Sus scrofa: one gene and its partner. The protein of the gene in region 2 purifies or fractionates together with the protein of the main gene of each other region. This does not show direct contact. Links are inferred from orthologs where the notes say so. Each region holds a gene or a part of one and is shown on either strand. Other genes may lie near its edges.

Region 1 (9,463 bases), on a different chromosome or scaffold from region 2:
TACAAAGAAAGGAGTTGTGCTCAGCTTCTCCTCTCCCCCATTGAAACTTTCTATGGCTTTTTTTTTTTTATTCCCCCCCTACTCTGGGCCATTTTCTTGGTAACTTCTATTCTGCCTGATGGCAGACACCTCATCATTCCCTTTTTCAGTGACCCTACTTGACAGATGGGGATTCTCTCAACCTGAGAGGCCCATGGCTAGTTCTCCAGTTCTGAGATGATTAAGATGAGACTCAGAGAAGCAAAGCCATTGGCCTGGGGTTTCACAGCTGATGAATGGCAAAGCTGGAACTTAACAGTCAGGCCAACCCGCCCAGGCTGAGCTGCCAGCTACTCCATTTCCTGGGCCAGATGAAGGGATGGCTGGTCCTTCTGGTGAAGGTGAGGTGGGCAAGCAGAGGGCAGAGGTAGGGTTCCTCTGCCTCTCTCCAGCTGCTGCTGCCATGTGATCTCAAACCAGACATGTCTGCTCTCTGCACCTCAGCTTCCTCACTCCCTCGGAGTGCTGGGGTACGACGAACCCAGGAGGTGCATGGGGGCAGCTGGCACTTAATGCATCCTGGGCTCTAACAGTTGTGCCATCCCTCACCCATGTGCTCCGAAAAAGTCTGTATTTGGGAAAGGAGGTGGGGGGGTGGGATAGCACCTGGGAACTGAATGTACTTGCCTTTTTTTGTGTGTGTCTTTTTAGGACTGCACTTATGGCATATGCTAGTTCCCAGGCTAGGGGCTGAATTGGAGCTACACTGCTGGCCTATGCCACAGCAACATTGGATCTGAGCCACATGTGGACCTACACCAAAGCTCAGAGCAATGCCAGATCCTTAACCCACTGAGCGAGGCCAGGGATCCAACCTGCATCCTCATGGATACTAGTCAGGTTCATTAACTGCTGAGCCATGACAGGAACTTCTGTACTCGATTTTCTGCTGAGAAGTTTGTGAAAACTCACCCTAAGGACGACCAGACTAGACTAGAGGCGAGAAGAGCCTCATGTTGAGCCAGGCAGGAGTTTGGGTGAGGCTGAGGGTTTTGGATACCTGTGGGATTTTGGCACTGTGGGTCCTAGAATCAGCCACCAAGGCTGTGTGAAGTGGTGGCTTTAGTTAGTGTGGCAAGTGGTGTGCCTGGTATCACCCCCTGGCCGGGCTTAATGAACCTCTAGATTGTTGTGACAATGCATAGGGCTCCATGGAGAGCAGGATGGGTGGGCAAGGGGTCTGTCTGGGGGCCAAGCCCCTGAATCCAGGCCTCACCTTCCCGGAGACAATCTTCTCGTAGATCTGGATGGGCTGGTCAGCGAAGAAGGGCGGGTAGCCAGCGGCCATCTCATAGATGAGAACCCCCAGGGCCCACCAGTCCACAGCTTTGTTGTAGCCCTGGAGTGAGGGGGGTGTGCAGGTGAGGGGAGAAGGGTGAAGCGGGGGCGCTGGCGGAGCCGGTCTCAGGGTGGTGGGAGGGGTAGGGAAGCGCCTACTTTACTCAGGATGATCTCAGGGGCCAGGTACTCGGGTGTCCCACACAAAGTCCAGGTGCGGCCTTTCACACGTTTGGCAAAACCGAAGTCTGTCACCTGTGGGCACAAGAACAGGCAGTTGGTGGGGAGGCAGGGAGGATTCACGCCACAGTCACCTGGGGCTGCCCCTCCCCTGGCCCAGTGGGCACCTGAATGTAGCCCTGCTGGTCGATGAGAAGGTTCTCCGGCTTCAGGTCCCGGTAGATGAGATCAAGCGAGTGCAGGTACTCGAAGGTCAGGACAATCTGGGCCGCGTAGAAGCGGGCATGGGGCTCACTGATGGGGACAAGAGGGGAGAGGATGGGTGGGTGAGGGTGGACACAGCAGCAGGACCTCCTGCAAATGGTCCAGCAAGTGAGCCTGGAGAGGTGCCTCCAGCCTAGCTATCAAAAATGCATCAGTATTAAAAAAAAAAAAAAAAAAAAAAAAAAAAAAAAAAAAAAGAGTTCCCATCGCAGCACAGGGGAAATGAATCTGATTAGGAACCATGAAGTTGCGGGTTCAATCCCTGGCCTTGTTCAGTGGGTTAAGGATCTGGCGTTGCTGTGAGCTGTGGTGTAGGTTGCAGACCCGGCTCGGATCCTGTGTTGCTGTGGCTATGGTGTAGGTGGCAGCTATAGCTCTGATTTGACCCCTCGTCTGGGACCCTCCATATGTTGCGGCCCTAAAAAGCGGAAAAAAAAAAAAAAAAAAAAAAAAAGACCATCAGCAGGATTTCCCATTATGGCTCAGCGTGTTAAGATCCTGACTAGTATCCATGAGGATGTAAGTTCAATCTCTGGCCTCACTTACTGGGTTAAGGATCTGGTGTTGCCACAAGCTGCGGTGGAGGTTGCAGATGTGGCTCAGATCTGGCGTTGCTGTGGCTATGGGGCAGGCAGGCAGCTATAGCTCTGATTCGATTCCTAGCCTGGGAACTTCCATATGCCTTGAGTGCAGCCCTAAACAGAAAAACACAAAAAGCAAAAACAAAAACAAAACCACACACACACAAAAACCCAAAATGCATCAGCAGAGCAGCCTTATTCACATATAGCTCTAAAATGGAAACAGCCCAAATGTCCATCCACAGAGAAATGGAATCCCAGATTTCGAAAGCTTCATACAATGGAATCCTACCCAACACCACCTCCAGGACAAACGATGAATATACCCAATGGTGTGGCTGGATCTCAAAGTGATTATGGAAGGCATGAGAAGAAAGGACAGAAGAATGTGAACTGTGTGATTCCATTTATATTGAGTCCAGACTTGGACCAAACACATTTACGGTGCTTACAGCCAGAAAGGACATTTGCCTTTGTTGGGGCAGCGATTTGCCAAGAAAAGTATTTGAGGGAATTTCTTGGGGTAGTGGTTACATAAGTGCATGTAGCTGTCAAAACTCACGGGACAGATCATTGAAAACCTGTGCATTTTCTTGTGTGTAAAGTGAGTATCTGTATAAAGAAATACAATGAGGAGTTCCCGCTGTGGCTCAGCAGTAACGAATCTGACTAGTAACAAATCTGAGTAGTATCTGTGAGGATGCAGGTTCGATCCCTGGCCTCACTCAGTGGGTTAAGGATCCAGTGTTGTTGTGACCTGTGGCGTAGGTCGCAGACGTGGCTCGGATCTGGTGGTGTTGTGGGTGGTGGCTATGGCTCCAATTGGACCCCTAGCCTGGGAATTTCCATATGCTTCAGGTGTGGACCTAAAAAACAAACAAACAAACAAACAAAAAAGAAATAAAATGAAACGACAGGATAAATTTAAAAACAATATAAACTCGCCCACTCACATGGAGACACCTAAGTCACTATGCTTGTTTTATTTCGTGGTAGTTGAGACATCAGAGATTCCTCAGCTCAGGGAGAGGCAAGAACCCATAGGAACCTGGAGAGGCCACTTCCATAGATGACGCCCATGGACAGCCCCAGGCCCAGTGTGGCAGGGGGTGGCTGGCTCACCTGAACCTCCCGATCCTCCGCAGGTGTGAGAACATCTCCCCACCAGGCACATATTCCATGACCATGTATAAATTTGAGTTGTCCTGCGGGAAGCAGCAGCTGATCAGAGCCCCATTCCCCAAGCCATGGGCCCCATCTGAAGGCCTGCCACCCTGATCTGGCGGATGTTCAGAAATAAAATGACAACAATCTTGGCTCCCACGAGAAGCACGTACTAAGTGCTGGGCGCTGTGCTCACTGATTACCTGTCTCATTTCCTCCCCGCCCCCTTTTTTTTGGCTGTGTCTACGGGCATGCAGAAGTTCCCAGGCCAGGAACCAAACCCGTGCCCCAGCAGTGATGACACTGGATCCTTAACCTGCTGAGCCACCAGAGAACTCCTGTCTCATTTCCTACTGCCTGGAAGAAAGAAGGGATTGCCAGTATCCTGCTTATTGGGGCTAAAAGTAATAAGGGCTGGCTAGAGGTACATAAGGGACCTGGCCAGCATGCCCGGGCTGCAGAGAGAACCCTGTAGTGGTTCATGTCTGTGACTATCTTCGGCGAGGCTCTTGGGGCCACAGTTTTATCATCTGTCAAATGGGACCAGGATGGACTACAGAATTTCTGGGCACCCCCTCTCCACAATAAAAGTATGAAGCCCCTTGTTAAAAAATTAATTATGAATCTCAAGACAGTGGCAGCAGTGCCTTAAACTAAGTGTGGGGTCTTCATGACTGCTGGGGTGAGTGACCTAAGCTGAGTGACCTTTCCAGCTCTTGCAGTCACCACTTACGTCAGCACCCCAGATGGCTCACACAGGGCTTGGGCGATTTGATGATGTGCTTGGAACTGTCATGGCAACCCCACCATGTAGAAACTGCTATGATCCCCATTTTACAGATGAAGAAACAAAGGCTCAGGGGCATTCCTCGCCAGGGTCACACGGCCAGGAAGTACATGGATTTGAACCTAGGCTGAGTGGCACATTTTATGGCCGTGTGTCAGGTTCTTCCTGTAAATGGAGTGATGAGTTTGAGGAATGTTACTGAGGTTGGGTGACTTGCCCAAGGTTATCAAGCTAGAAGTTGTCAGGCCTGGTTGAACTTGGGTCTGTCAGAGCCCTAAGCTGACTTGACCCCTAACCCTGGGTCTCCTTCTCCCCCATCAGTGGGCCTGCCTTCTTGGGCAGCTACTGGTTGTTGCTGGCCCAGCCTCAGTTCTGGGAACCGAGAGGCTGCACCACCCACAGTGGCCCTGGGTGGCGGCCGCTGGGACCTCACCTTGAAGGAGAACTCGAGTTTGACAAGGAACGGGAAGTTGACTGCTTGCAGGATGCGCTTTTCATTCAGGGTGTGCTCAATCTGTTTCAGCTTCACCACCTGTGGTGGGAGGAGGGGAGGGTGGAGAGGAAGGGGTGTGAGAGGGTCTTCGTCTTCCCTGCTGCCCCAAAACAGGGGTGCCAGGGCTGGGCCCCTGCCTTCATCCAGAATCATTTGAGTGCCTGGGGCCTGTCAAGCCCTGGGCTGGGAGCCTGTCCCACATGGCATGCAGTTCAGAGCAAGAACACATTCAGTCACCAGGTCACAGGGGTCAGAGCTGTGGTGGGGGAAGCTCAGGGCCTGTGGATGCCCAGGTAAGGTGCCCAGTGAAGTCTGTGGGAAGGGGGGGCATCAGAGAAGGCTTCCTGGAGGAAAGGGCAGCTGAGCTGAAACTGGACAGGCAGGAGGAACACTCAAGGGGTGGAGGGATTAGAAATACCTTTCCTGCATCTAGAGCACCCCCCCACCCCCCACCACATCCACCTAAAACCTGGGGTAGTTCCTCCTTGGCCTCAGCTGTCCCCAGGAGGTGCCTCACACGCTGTGACAGGAGCCTGGAGGGGTACGCCCCGAGAGCATGCTAGTTTGGATGCAGAGAGAGTAAGTGACTTGCCCAAGGTCAAGTGTAGCTAGTCAGTGTCAGGCCCGCCTGTCACAAGCAGGCAGCCTAGCCCTTTGGTCAGCGCTAAACCACTGCACTGGGGCTTTCTTCTGCTTTGCTCACAGCTGCAGCCTTTGGGTCTACACTTGCACTGTCCAGTAGAGTCCACACTAGCCACTCGTCTGCTGAAATGTGGCTGGCTGAAACGTGGAACTGAGTTTAAAATTTGAAGTGTCTAAAATTTAAAAACTGATACTCAGTGCAGGCACCAGACAACTTTCAAGCCTGTTTGGAACAATTTGGGCTGTGTAAGTCTGTTTTTTGGTTTTTTTTTTTTTGTCTTTTTTGCCATTTCTTGGGCCGTTCCCACGGCAGATGGAGGTTCCCAGGCTAGGGGTCGAATCGGAGCTGCAGCAGCCCAGTCTATGCCAGAGCCACAGCAACACGGGATCTGAGCCGCGTCTGCGACCTACACCACAGCTCACGGCAATGCTGGATCCTTAACCCACTGAGCAAGGCCAGGGATCGAACCCGCAACCTCATGGTTCCTAGTTGGATTTGTTAACGACTGAGCCACGATGGGAACTCCCTGTGTGAGTCTGCTTTTTCAACTTCTCCACTTTTTCTTGTCTTTCCAGTGAAAATTAACATCTGAATGGAGACATAAGTGTAAAATACACACTGGATTTATAAGACTTAGTGTGGAAGAAAAATGTAAGACATCTCATGAATGATATTTCTACACTAGTTACATTAGCTGAAATGATAATATTGTAGACATACTGACTTAATTACAACACGTGGTTAAAATGAATTCTACCTGTTTTTTTAAAAAAAATTTTAATTAGGATTCTAGAAAACTTATTTACTTTATTTATTTTTGGCTGTGCTGGTGGTGTGCAGAAGTTCCCAGGCCAGGGATCGAATCTGCACCACCATAGCAACTCAAGCCACAACAGCGACAATGCCAGATTCTTAACCCGCTGAGCCACCAGGAAACTCCTAGAAAATCTAAAACCGTATGTGGCTTGTGTGATATTTCTCCTGGATGGTGCTGCTCTAGAGCAGTGCCTGGCAAAAAGCAGGGTCTCAAAAATATTTACAGAAAGAAGGTCTGTGTAAACATCACTTCCTCCTGACTTCCTCCATACAGGCGAGGTGTCTGACCCCAGGTCTAATGCCTAAATTTGCATCAGTGGCTACCCAGGAGGGGAAGCTTCCTGAAGGAGCGTGGTACCCTTTCCTGCCCTTGGATTTGGCACATTTTGGAGGTTCAGGAAATAGCTGGTGAGCAGATGGGTGGGAAGAGCGCTGCAGGTGGTGGGAACAGCCCAGGCAAAGCCCTAGTGGGTCGGACCAGGGCCTTGTGGCAGGGCTGGGCTCACCTTCTGTTTGTCGAGGATCTTCATGGCAAAGTGGTTCCCAGTCTCCTTGTGCTTCACCAGCATCACCCGCCCGAAGGAGCCCGTGCCGAGGGTCTTGATTCGTTCAAATTGATCCAAATGGGCTGTATTCTGTGGGCGGAGGGGTCTGGGGGGGTCAGAGAACAACCCCTCCCACCCTCAACCTACCCTGCAGCCTGAAATTTGGGGCATCCCTTGTGCCACCAGCAGAGGGGGCCCTGGGGACCAGGTGGAGTCAGGAGGGTGAGGACAGGGGGCGGAAAAACAAGATGGCAGAGGGCGCATTCCTTAAGGCTGGTGGCAGGGGCCAGATCCGGCCCTGGCCTGGGGCCCAGGAGCTGCTGGCAGCTGCCTGGGGGGCAGGGGCCGCCAGTTGGAAGAGGGTGGTGGGTGGGGGAGCCTGGCAGTGGGTGATCAGGTGCCTTTGCCCAGGAGCCTCCGTGGGCATCTCAGGAGTGAATGAGGGCAGGTCTGGAGCCCTCCTTAGGGCCCTAGAAATCCCAGTCATGCCAGGGATGCAGTTGGGTATCAAGGGGCCATCATGTCAGCCCTCCCAGGGGGCTTACCTGAGCAGGATTTTCCCATTTTTTAAGAAAATCTTCTTTGGCTTTGGCTAAGAACTCTTTCACTGAAAGGAAGAAAGGTGAGAGAGAGAGACCCCATCTTGTTAGTGTGGGTCCGGGCTAGTCCTGGGGAGGCGCTGCTTTGTGGAAAGTGGGGTGCAATTGTCTCAACCCAGAGCTTGACCTTCTTCCAGTGCCTTCCGGTGCCCTGGCTGAAACTGAGGGTAACTTGGGGCGGGCGGGCGGCGGGGGCCCTGATCTGGGCTGGGGCCTGGGTCCTCTATACTACAGAGAGCTGGGATCCAGCCTCAATTCTGTCCAAAACGGAAGACAGGGTGACTCGAGGGGTCACTCTCAGGGGGACAGAGAGCGGCGCCCAGGCCAGCCCACCCCCACTTGCCCCAGTTCTGACTGACATTCCACGGCCAGGGACGACGCCAGCCGTGGTATTTATAGCCTCGGATTTGGCTGCTCCTCTGGCCCCTTCTCTGAGGAGGCCAGGCCTGGGGTGGAGGCCTCTGGGGCTCGGGTAGCAGGCACCCTTGGGGGGGGGTTCAGCTGTTGCCTTGGCCCCCAGCTGGCCCCATTCTCGCCTTTGCCAACAGAGGGGCCCTCATTCCAGAGCTGGTTCAAGGGAAGCCTCGCCTGATGCCCACCCCCTACAGGCCCCTCTGCACCCCAAGGCAAACATCACCATTCAGCTAGCATTGAAGACATCTTGGCGGACCCTGGGCTTGCTGCTTTGTGTCCACTGACTCATTTGGTTCACTTGCCAACTTTCCTTTTAGCCATTCTCCCCATTTATCACCCTAGTAAACTGAGACCTGAAAGAGGCATTCCGGCCAATGCAGAGGTGGCCTGACAAAGTAGTTAAGGCCAGGACTCTGGGATAAGATCAAGTTCAGATCCTGGCCTAGTCCCCGATGAGCTGTGTGGCCTTAGGCAAATGACCTCACTTCTGGGCCTCAGTTTTCCTCTGTAAAATGGGAATGATAACACTAATGACCTGGCAGGGTGGTTATGAGGACTGAATGAGTTAATTTTGGCAAAGGGGGTTCGGATGGTGGCCAGCACAGAGTTAGTGCCATATAAATGTCAGCCATTCAGATGCAAGCTATCTTTTTTTTTTTTTTTTTTTCCTTTTTAGGTCTGTACCCACAGAAGTATGGAAGTTCCAGGCTAGGGATTGAATTGGAGCCGCAGCTGCGGGCCTACACCATGGCTACAGCAATGCCAGATCTGAGACGCATCTGCAACCTGCACCGAAGCTTGTGGTAACACCAAATGTTAACCCACTGAGTGGGGCCAGGGATCAAACTGGCATCCTCATGGATACTAGTCTGGTTCTTAACCTGTTGAGCCACAATAGGAACTCCCAGATGCGAACAATTATATATAGGATGGATAAACAACAAGGTGCTAGTGTAGAGCACAGGGAACTATATTCAATATCCTGTGATAAACCATAATGCAAAAGAATATGAAAAAGTATGTATACGTTTAATTGAACCACTGCTGTACAGCAGAAATTAACACGTTGTAAATGAACTATACTTCAAGAGCATTTTCAAAAACTTAGCTATTAATTTTAAGTATTTCTTTTTTTGTCTTTTTAGGGTGGCAGCATATGGAGATTCCCAGGCTAGGGGTCCAATTGGAGCTGTAGCCGCTGGCCTATGCCAGAGCCACAGCAACTCGGGATCTGAGCCACGTCTGCGACCTACACCACAGCTCACGGAAATGCTGGATCCTTGAACCAATGAGTGAGGCCAGGGATCGAACCTGCATCCTCATGGATGCTAGTTGGGTTCGTTAACCACTGAGCCACGGTGGGGACTCCTCTTTTAAGTTTTTTTTTTTTTTTGCTTTTTAGGGCTGCACCCTTGGCATATGGAGGTTCCTAGGCTAGGGGTCAAATCAGAGCTACAGCTGCCAGCCTATACCACAGCTGCAACTACACAGGATCTGAGCCATGTCTGTGACCTAAATCACAGCTCACAGCAACGCCAGATCCTTAACCCACTGAGTGAGGCCAGGGATCGAACCCGCAACCTCATGGTTCCTAGTTGGATTCGTTTCCACTGCGCCACAAAAGGAACTCCTTAAGTATTTTTTGAATGGAGGCATAAAA
Region 2 (9,463 bases):
ATGGAGGTTCCCAGGCTAGGGGTTGAATTGAAGCTGCAGCTGCCGGCCTACGCCAGAGCCACAGCAGCGCATCATCCGAGCCAAGTCTGTGACCTGCAACGCCGGATCTTTAACCCACTGACTAAGACCAGGGGTCGAACTTGCATCCTCATGGATACTAGTCAGGTTCATTACCACTGAGCCGTGATGGGAACTCCCTGCTCGTCTCTTTCCAAACCTTTGAGTTTCCCCATTTGTGATCTGGTACAACTGTCCCTCTGTCAGGGCAGAGTCAACAAGGTCGGGTGCCCTGTCACTGTTGTTACATGCCCTGCACCTGCCTGTGGGGAGCTCTGTCTCCCCGAAGAGACATCTCTACCAACATCCTCTAAACTCTCCCTGGAGCTGTTCCCAGGGGTTGGTGCAGACCTGGGGCTCCTCCCCTGAGCAGGGGGCTCTGTGATGTCACAGTCTGCGCCTGGCTTCCAGGCAGCCGAGTGCCACATCTTATGCTCAGATGACTGCGTCACCTCACCAGGCCCTAGGTGAGAGGCTTGTAGGCAGTGGCTGGTGGTGTCCCTCTGCCAGTCATTCATGGAGCTGACAGAGCAGCTCTTTGGGGGCTGTGTGAGTCTGAGTGTCTGTCTGAGTGCTGGGCACATGTGTGCTGGGGACGTGTGTGACAGACTGGCATCTGTCCATTTGAAAGGAGGGTGCCACGTCCTGGATCTCAAAGCACAGGCTTCCCTCTGTCCTCCTCCTTCTCTGCTGCTGCTGGAACCTTTGAAACGTCCTCTCTGCCTTGAGCTGTGTTTCCTGGCCTGAGCCTGTGTCATGGAATTCTATGTGTGGGGGCCATGGCCAGGGAGCCAGGCCAGGCCTCCTGTTATGGAGCGTTTCCCCCGGGCAGCCCAGAGGATTGAACCGCTGGTCACACCTTCCCTTGGAGGCCCGAGTCCCTGGTGTGATGTGAAGGACAGGAAGGCCTCTGTCCCTCCTCAGACCCCCGCCCGCTTCTCAGACCCCAACAGGGATCCAGAGGCAGAGTGACATTCGCTCATTAACAAATTTGTTTCTTTATTTGCCCAGCCACTGCTTTGACCAGATACCACACTAGGTGAGAAAGATGGGGTGAGCTGCCCTCACAGGGCTTGCTTTCTAGTGGTGAGGATGGCCATCCTGTGCACTTCAAATGGGCACTTGTGTGGGATGCAAATTACACCTCAGTAATTCTGCTCCGGGAAGCCAAGTGCCACAGGGACACAAAACAGAGTTGTGTGTGCTCTCTGTTGGAAAGGAATTGGTGGGAGGGAACATTAAAAAAGCTTCTCTGAGAAAGTGATGTTAAAACCTGAACAGGCAGAAAGGAGCGAGGGAGGGGACAGGGTTGTAGGTAGTAGAAGGAGCTTGGGCTTTGGGGTCCCACAGACCAAAGTGTGAGCTTTAGCCCCACAGTTTATTAGCTGTGTCCTCACAAGTGATGACTTCCAGTGATGAGGCACTTGCTGTGTGCCAGGCACTGTGTCACATGTGTACATGTTTCAACTCATAATCCTCCCAATAACTCTTAAGAGGTAGATGGAATTACGATAACCATTGTGCAAGCATGAAAAGATGCCAAGGGATTAAATCACCTGCCTGGGATCCTGGATCTGTCCCACTCTTGAACCTGTATGCTTAACCACCATATTACAAGCCTGCCGAAGGAATGTGCCTTTGCAAATCGTTCTTAAAGAACATGTGAGGAGCTCCAGGCTCCTCTTTTTTCTTTTCTTTCTTAGTTCCTTCCTCCTTCCTTCTCTTTCTCTCGCTTTCTTTCTTTCTTAAATGGCCACACCTGCAGCTTATGGAAGTTCCCAGGCAAGGGATCGTATTAGAGCTGCAGCTGCAGGCCTACACACAGCCACAGCAATTCAGGATCCAAGCCACATCCATGATCCATGCTGCAGCTTGTGGCGACACTGGGTCCTTAACCCAGTGCTCGAGGGCAGGAAATCAAACCCACATCCTCATGGACACTCTACCAGGTTCTTAACCTGCTAAGCCACAACGGAAACTCCAGGCTCCCCCTCTTTCCTAATTTCCTAAGCATCAAGGCCTTGAAAGACTGAAGGCTGGTCCCAACATCTGCCCTCCTTCCCTCCCACTCCCCCTGCCCATCAGCCCAGCTCTCTCTAATAGGCCTTCCTGCCGCTTTGCCTTTTCCCTCCACTTTATTTTTTTTTTTATTTTTTTTATTTTTTTGGTCCTTTTAGGGCCCCACCCGAGGCACACGGAGGTTCCCAGGCTAGGGGTTGAATCAGAGCTACAGCCGCTGGCCTACACCAGAGCCACAGCAACACGAATCCAAGCCACGTCTGTGACCTACACCACAGCTCATGGCAATGCCGGATCCTTAACCCACTGAGCAAGACCAGGGATCAAATCTGTGTCCTCATGGATGCTAGTCAGATTTGTTTCTGCTGCACCATGATGGGAACATCTCCCTCCACTCTTTAGGGGACATATTTTTCAATCCCTTCTTGATCCCCAAAGAAGTTTACATTTTCAGGTTTTAAATGTTTATTTAGGACAGCATATTTTAACTAGAAAGCTAGAAATTCAAACTGTAAGAAAAATCACTTGGAGCACAAAGCCCCTTTAATAGGGCCCCCTCCTCCACTCAGCCTGACTCCCCGTGCCCTCCGTTCCAGGTCTGGCACACTCAGCACTTCCAAGTAACCCATCCACCTGGATAACCTTGCTGTATTTTTGGTGTGTTTGAAGCAGCCCCAAAGCTGGCTGCAAACTCCTTGGAATGAAACAGTGTTTCTTGGGCAAATGCTGCAGGGCAGTTAGTCGCCCTTGACGGTGGGTTTGATTCAGTGGGAGAGAGGGATGCAAGGGGTGTTGAGAGCCAGCAAGAAAGGCAATGAGAAGGACTTGGTGGTGTTGCTGGGTTCCGGTGCACATCTGCCCTTGGTTTTAGGAACAGACGTGATGCTGCTCGAGGACTACACGTCTGACGACAACCCTCCCTCGCACTGCACTTGCCCACCCAAGAGGAGGAGCTCGGTGACATTCGAGGATGAAGTGGAACAAGTCAAAGGTTGGTTTCTGTCACTGATGCCTTTAGGAAAACAGGGGAAACGAAAGGATCTTTGGAAAATTCCTTGGCTCTGCCTGCCTCCACCCAACCAGGGCCCCACCTTCGCCCACCCTGATGTCGCTCCCGACCCTGCCAGTCTCACTGGAGTTCTTAGGTTTCCCAGCATCTAAGGCTAGGCAAGCAGTGGCCATGGTGCTGTATGTAGACACACACACAGAGCCACATACACAGCTACACACATGCATGGCACAGAGCTATACACACAGACACGTACACACAGCCACACAAATGCATACACAGCCACACACACGGCTCCACCCACATACACACACAACCCACATACCAGTTCTAGTCTCCCTCCCTCAGGAAGTTGCCTGACTGGATAAAACAGTTTCTGAGCCCTCTGTAGTTTCCTCTCCTTTATGGGTTACGTGTGGTTATAAATCTGAACGTGTCCTTCGGAGCCTCGGCTTCCTCACGTGGAAGACGGAAGCCATGCCCCGCGAGTGCCCTGCTCCAGCAGCACTAAAGGCTGCCGTCTTGAGTGTCTGTTGCCCAGAAGCTGGTAAGGGAGCTGGGATCCTGTGAGAGGAGTGCGTTCGGCTGTAGTCCAGTCCGATGTTTTTCTGCCCTACCTGTTCTGAATTCACCTCTCGGCACACATGTTGCCTCTGGAACTTGGGGTCTGGTTTCCCATCCTTTCCCATCCAGACAGGCTGATCCGAGGAGTGACCAAGGAGCCATCAGGCTGCGCATAGGTGTAAGACTCTCTTTGCCTCTGAATCCCACCGTATGAGGACAGCCACTCGCATGGCTGGGTGTGTATGTGGTGGAGGAGTCCGGGATCTGTAAGACATACATTCTTCAGAAATGCCGAGTATGAAAATAAATATGGGCTGGGTCAGAGCCTTAGGTTCATAATTAGTCCTATCTCTCTAGCACCCCTTCCTGATTCCAGATGAATGGTCATGGATGTCAGGGAGGCAGATGGCAAATTGTCTGCTTCACTGGCAAAGAGGATTCAAGAACAGAGCTTGGACCAGCAGCCTCATGGGCTTTATGATATATTACTCCCATATTTAAAAGAATTTTTATTACAGTTGATTTACAGTGTTCTGTCAATTTCTGCTGTACTGCAAAGTGACCCAGTTATATATATATGTGTGTGTGTGTGTATGTATATATGTATGTGTGTGTGTGTGTGTGTGTGTGTATATATATATATATATATATATATACTTTTTCTCACATTATCCTCCATCATATTCCATCACAAATGACTAGATATAGTTCCCTGTGCTACACAGCAGGACCTCATTGCTTATCCACTCCAGATGCTATACATCTACTAACTGCAAACTCCCAATCCATCCCACTCCTAACCTCTCTCCTGTGGCAACCACAAGTCTGTTTTCCACGTCCATGAGTTTGTTTCTTTTCTGTAGATAGTTTCATTTGTGCCATTTATTAGATTCCAGATATAAGTGATATCATACTGTATTTGTCTTTGTCTTTCTGACTTCACTTAGTATGAGAGTCTCTTGGTACAACCGCTATGGAAAACAGTATTCCCATATTTTAAAGAAATGGATTGAAATCCTCCTTAATCTAGCGAGCCCACACAAGGCCAAGCTTGCTCCATCAAGCCAACTGTTAGGGGACAGCAATTCCAAAGGCACCTTTCTACAGGCAGGAAGGAGAGTGGGCACATGTAAGATGCACCCCCCTCCCGCCAATGAGTGACAGGGCAGGGAGGGGCCACGTGGCCCCCGCAACTCTTTCCCTCTTGGAGAGTAGGATGGAAGTTGCCTACTGCAGAAAACTCGAAAAGTAGGGGATACACCTTTCCCCCCAAGATGTCAGGAGGAAATAAGCAATGAGGTTAATAGTCATAAGGCCCTGGGTATGAAATTGAAGGACCCCTCCCACCCTCCCATCTGTGCCCCATTGTTAGGGGGTAGTAATCCTGGGGGAACCGTTAATGAGCTTCCAGTCCTGAGGGTCTCCATGTGGCTCTGGGGAATCTCTGACCAAGAGTGGAGGGGCAGAGACAACATTCAGGTTTGTGGACATTTACAGCCGTAGCTACTCCAGGGAGCAGAAAGATCAGAGAACTCTTTCAACCATGTAAACATTTGAATATCCTCCTAGAAAGTATTTATTAAGCCTTTTCTACAAGCCAGGCCTAAGCTGGCATCTTAGGAAGAACTGTTTCATTATCACGGTAACCCCCTAAAGTAATGGCTATGCCACGATCTTCTCATTACAGATGAGGGAGCTGAGGTTAGATACATAGCCTCTAAGATTTCCCAGAGAGTAAGTTAAGATACTCCCCTCCCAGGCCAGTTCCAGAATGGCCATGGTCCTGGCCCCCCTCTAACTGTTTTTCTCCCTTCTCTCTCAGAAGCTGCCAGGAACCCTATTCTTCATGTGCGAGCCGACGTGCATAAGTCCTTGGACAGTTACGCAGCCAGCCTGGCCAAAGCCATTGAGGCTGAAGCCAAAATCAACTTATTTGGGGAGGAGGCTTTGCCTGGGGTCTTGCTGGCGGCACGGACGGTGCCAGGGGCTGGCTTTGGGAGTCGCCGGGGCAGCAGAACTCTGGCGAGTCAGAGGCTGCAGCTGCAGAGCATCGACGAGGGGAACATTTTAGCTGCAGAACAGAGATGAGGGCCTCCCCGCAGGATGCCCATTCCCGTCTGGGCCAGGGCCCTGGGAGCAACATCTGGTCTTCAGTCATCAGACGAAAAACCTCTGAACACAACGTCTGTGAGTGACTTCGGTGTCTGTTGTGAGACCCCACCAGGCTTCTTGTGGGCCCCAGTGACGAGACCAGAGGCACCTAGAGCATAAAGAAAAGCAGGTGGAGGTGTGGTTGTGACTTTGTGGGAGGCGGGGCTGAGAGGGGGACTGGTGAGCACGGCCGGGAGGAAACCACCATGTGGGTCGCTTCCTCTTCTTCACAACCTGTGTCCTGGGAGTCCAGCCACGCACTGTCCCAAGGCCTCAGGCGAGCCCTTCCCGATGCACTTTGGAGGACGGCACTTCCGTGTAGTGGGTCTGGGCCGTGTGGGGCCGTCAGTTCTGCACTAAACGGTCCCCAGAAGAGAATCCAGCAGCAGAGCACCCCAGATCCATTTGCCACACGCTGTGTCCTGGTTATGACTTTGCCTTTGGTGGAGACACCTGCTGGTGCTAGAGGGGACAGGCCGGGGGCCCAGGGGGATGTTGTTGCTGAGAACAAGGCCCATCGTGTCCGCCTCCCTGTGGGCTTATTCTTTGATGTTTCAAAAGCAGGGAGAAACCACTGTAAAAGACAGGAGAGAGGCGCAGATACCAGATGTTTCATTTCTAGTTTTAAAAAACAATCCGTTTGGTTAGGACGCACCATGATCTTACTGAGCCCGAACGGGGCCACAGGGCCACGTGCTGCTGGGAAATAGAGATACTGTTGGAATCCTGTCACATAGGAAAACGTCGTGGAATAGATTCTGTTTGTGAGGTTTGATTGACCATTTAGATTAGCTGGCTGCCAGGTGCACAGGGAGTTCTCCCGTAGGCAGCAGCTACTAGTTCCCTGCCCTGGGCAGTTTGAGACAAGAGAGACTTGGAGTGAGCAACCTGCCTTCTGGCCTGGCTCTGTCTTACCTTATCATTTGGGACTTCTGTCACCTCTAGGAATCTGGGAAATGAGATAAGGGATTGGAGAGTTGGATTGAATGGTTGCCAGGATCATTTCTAACTCTGGTCTTTGATGTTTTTGAATTTGTAGCTTAGGGAAAAAAAAAAAAGGGCATCCCATGGACTAACATTTGCACAGTTTTTGTGTGTGGCTTCTCATGTGTGTGTGTGGAGGGGTGGGCTGGTCCAGTTGGTCTATTACGAGCATGTCCTGACACAGTGCCAACCAGCAAGACACATAAATGGGGCCAGAGGGCACCTCCTCGAGGTGAAAGGGGAGCTGCGGATTATGGTTCATATGCTGGATCTTCCCCGCCTCCCGTGAGTCAGGATGGCAGTTGAAGTGGGGGCTTGGAGTCAGGTCTGTGCTGACTGGAACCACCTGTGCCTGCCCTTCAGCCTGAATGATTAAATCAGCCAAGTGCAGGACCTTCCCCGCCTTCAGAATTCCAGGTGATTGGCAAAGGGTAGATTCCAAGATCCAGCTGCGTCTGCTACAGGGGCAGCTGTTCCAGAAAGTGAATGACCTTTGCAGTGTTCTTTGGGGTCTAGCTAGCTCTTGGTGAGGCAGTGTCTCTACTGTGTGGCTGGTCCCCTAGTGTGCAGTTTACAAAAGACTTTCCTGAGACCTGGGGGCTTGCTAACCTTCCCAATGATCATCTGATCATCAACAACCCCTGTGGGTCAGCTGGGTGCCAGGCACTGGTCGGATTCTGGATGAGAGTGGGAAGAAGCAGGTGGCTTTTCCAGAGGAGCAGAGGGCAGTTTCACCTGTGGGTTCTGCTGATAAGATGTGCAGATCAGGGAGTTCCTTTTGTGGCTCAATGGGTTAAGAACCTAGCGAGTATCCATGAGGATGCCGGTTTGACTGCTGGCCTTGCTCAGTGGGTTAAGGATCTGGCACTGCAGCAAGCATAGGTGTAAGTCACAGATGTGGGCTCGAATCTGGCATTGCTGTGGTGGTGATGTAGGTTGGCAGCTGCAGCTCTGATTCGACAGCTAGCCTAGGGACTTCCATATGCTGCAGGTGCAGTCCTAAAAAGAAAAAAGAAAAAAAAAAAAGATGTGTAGATCAGTCAGACTCTGCTCTCACTCCTGGGTGGCATGCCTAAATCTGAGGGCATTTATGTTCCCTATGTGTGATTTTTTTTTTTCCCCTAGCACTTGTCCTTGTCTAGTTTCTAAAGGGGCTATATTCCTGAGCATCTAGTGTGCACTGAGGTGGAACAGGGCAGAGAGACCTTTACAGGCAAGTTAGAGTAACTCACGATGGCCCCCAGGCTAGGCCTTTTTGAGTGCCGCAAAGTGGCTTGCAACCCAAGGGTTGGAGAGTACTTCCCCTGGACTGTAGTTGGCTGGGCTCTAGGGAAAGAGTCCTGGGACCCACCAGGTCCCCACTGGCTGATCCTAGACTAGCTGCGATACACTGGGATTTAATCTAAGCTAATCTAAAAGTACAAAAGCGTTCTCTGTGTTTGCCCTTTTCCGCTGAGGTCTGTTTATTCATCTACCAGGCATCACATCTATGTGCAAAGCATTGTAAACATTGGTTACTACTTGATTACTAACACTGGCTCTGTGAGTAGTAACATTAGAGTGTTTTCACTCTAACATAGGGAGAGACCTGGAGGCGACTGAGGCTAAATAGCAAAGTCAGGTAATGATTATTGAAAGAACTGCAGACTCCAGAGGGAGGTGATTATTTCCAAGTAGAGGAGTTGGAGGCAGCTCCGTGCAGAAGGTGACTGCTGGCACCAAACCTTGGAGGATGTCTGGCAGCTAGAACTATATTTTGAATATTCAGGAATTCAGTTTCCTTGATACGGCCTGAGTGGAAAAAGAAGAGCAAGAAGGAGGTGGGTGAGGAGAGGAAGACATCACCCAGTACACTGAGAGGCATTTTTTTACTGGCACATGGAAGTTCCTGAGCCAGGGATCAAACCCGTGCCACAACAGTAACCAGAGCTGCTGCAGTGACAACACTGGATCCTCAACTTGCTATGCCACGGGAGAACTCCTGAGAGGCATTTTTGAGGATACCTGTCCTTAGCACAGGAGGTCAAAACCCCAGCTTCCTTCACTGAAGCCAGGCCGTTAGCTTTATTCTGCTGTGCAGGGGCAGCCGGAGGCCTTCCTGAGGGGGCCGCGTGGACAGTGGCAGGTAGGACATTTGGCCACTCGTTCACTTAAAAATCTAGTCCCGTTGTCTGGCTTTGAAAACCGTTTTAGGACAGTTGCCCATCTCCGCTTCTTTCATGGGATTGCCACTTGACCAGGTTCCCATGCTGTCCCCTAGATAGCAGGTTTGGGGGCTAGTGTGACCCAGAAGGCACTGGAGTCTCACACCACACCACAGAGCACACAGCTCAACACCCCTTTGCCTTTTCCCAGGCCAGATGCACCAAAGTGAAGTTCAGGGCCTTAGGCACTAGGTGGCAGCAGTGTGGCTGTGATGCCACTGGCAGTTCCTGGAGGCAAAGGGCTAAGGATAAACCTAAAGGCTTGTTTGCTTCTGGGTTAGAGCTCTTACTCTGAACTCCTGGTCTCTACTGCAGTCCTCGGCCTTTAAAGGACCACCCAGCCAGCTTGCTTACAAGTGTGACCCCATTCAGGGTCACAGGTACTGCCACTGCTCAGCTCTGTGATCTTAAGCAAATCCCTGCTGTAGAAGGAGGGTTGAGGAATGTAAGACAAGGGCCATCTGGTGCTAACGTC

What was found.
Region 1: the proteins of GPR161 (region 2) and PRKACA purify together in Homo sapiens (affinity purification with mass spectrometry; 3 studies listed by BioGRID and IntAct, counting the BioPlex papers as one, with this or other methods). This does not show direct contact. The link is inferred for Sus scrofa from reciprocal best matches to the Homo sapiens genes GPR161 and PRKACA.

Annotation. Positions count from the first base shown.
Region 1 is NC_010444.4:65,081,864-65,091,326, reverse strand, and holds part of PRKACA (cAMP-dependent protein kinase catalytic subunit alpha), read right to left. Parts: intron 7,398-9,463; coding exon 7,336-7,397; intron 6,881-7,335; coding exon 6,752-6,880; intron 4,826-6,751; coding exon 4,727-4,825; intron 3,548-4,726; coding exon 3,465-3,547; intron 1,792-3,464; coding exon 1,665-1,791; intron 1,573-1,664; coding exon 1,477-1,572; intron 1,379-1,476; coding exon 1,256-1,378; intron 1-1,255.
Region 2 is NC_010446.5:82,897,752-82,907,214, forward strand, and holds part of GPR161 (G-protein coupled receptor 161), read left to right. Parts: intron 1-2,947; coding exon 2,948-3,067; intron 3,068-5,471; coding exon 5,472-5,737; 3' UTR 5,738-9,463. UniProt on the Homo sapiens protein: Key negative regulator of Shh signaling, which promotes the processing of GLI3 into GLI3R during neural tube development.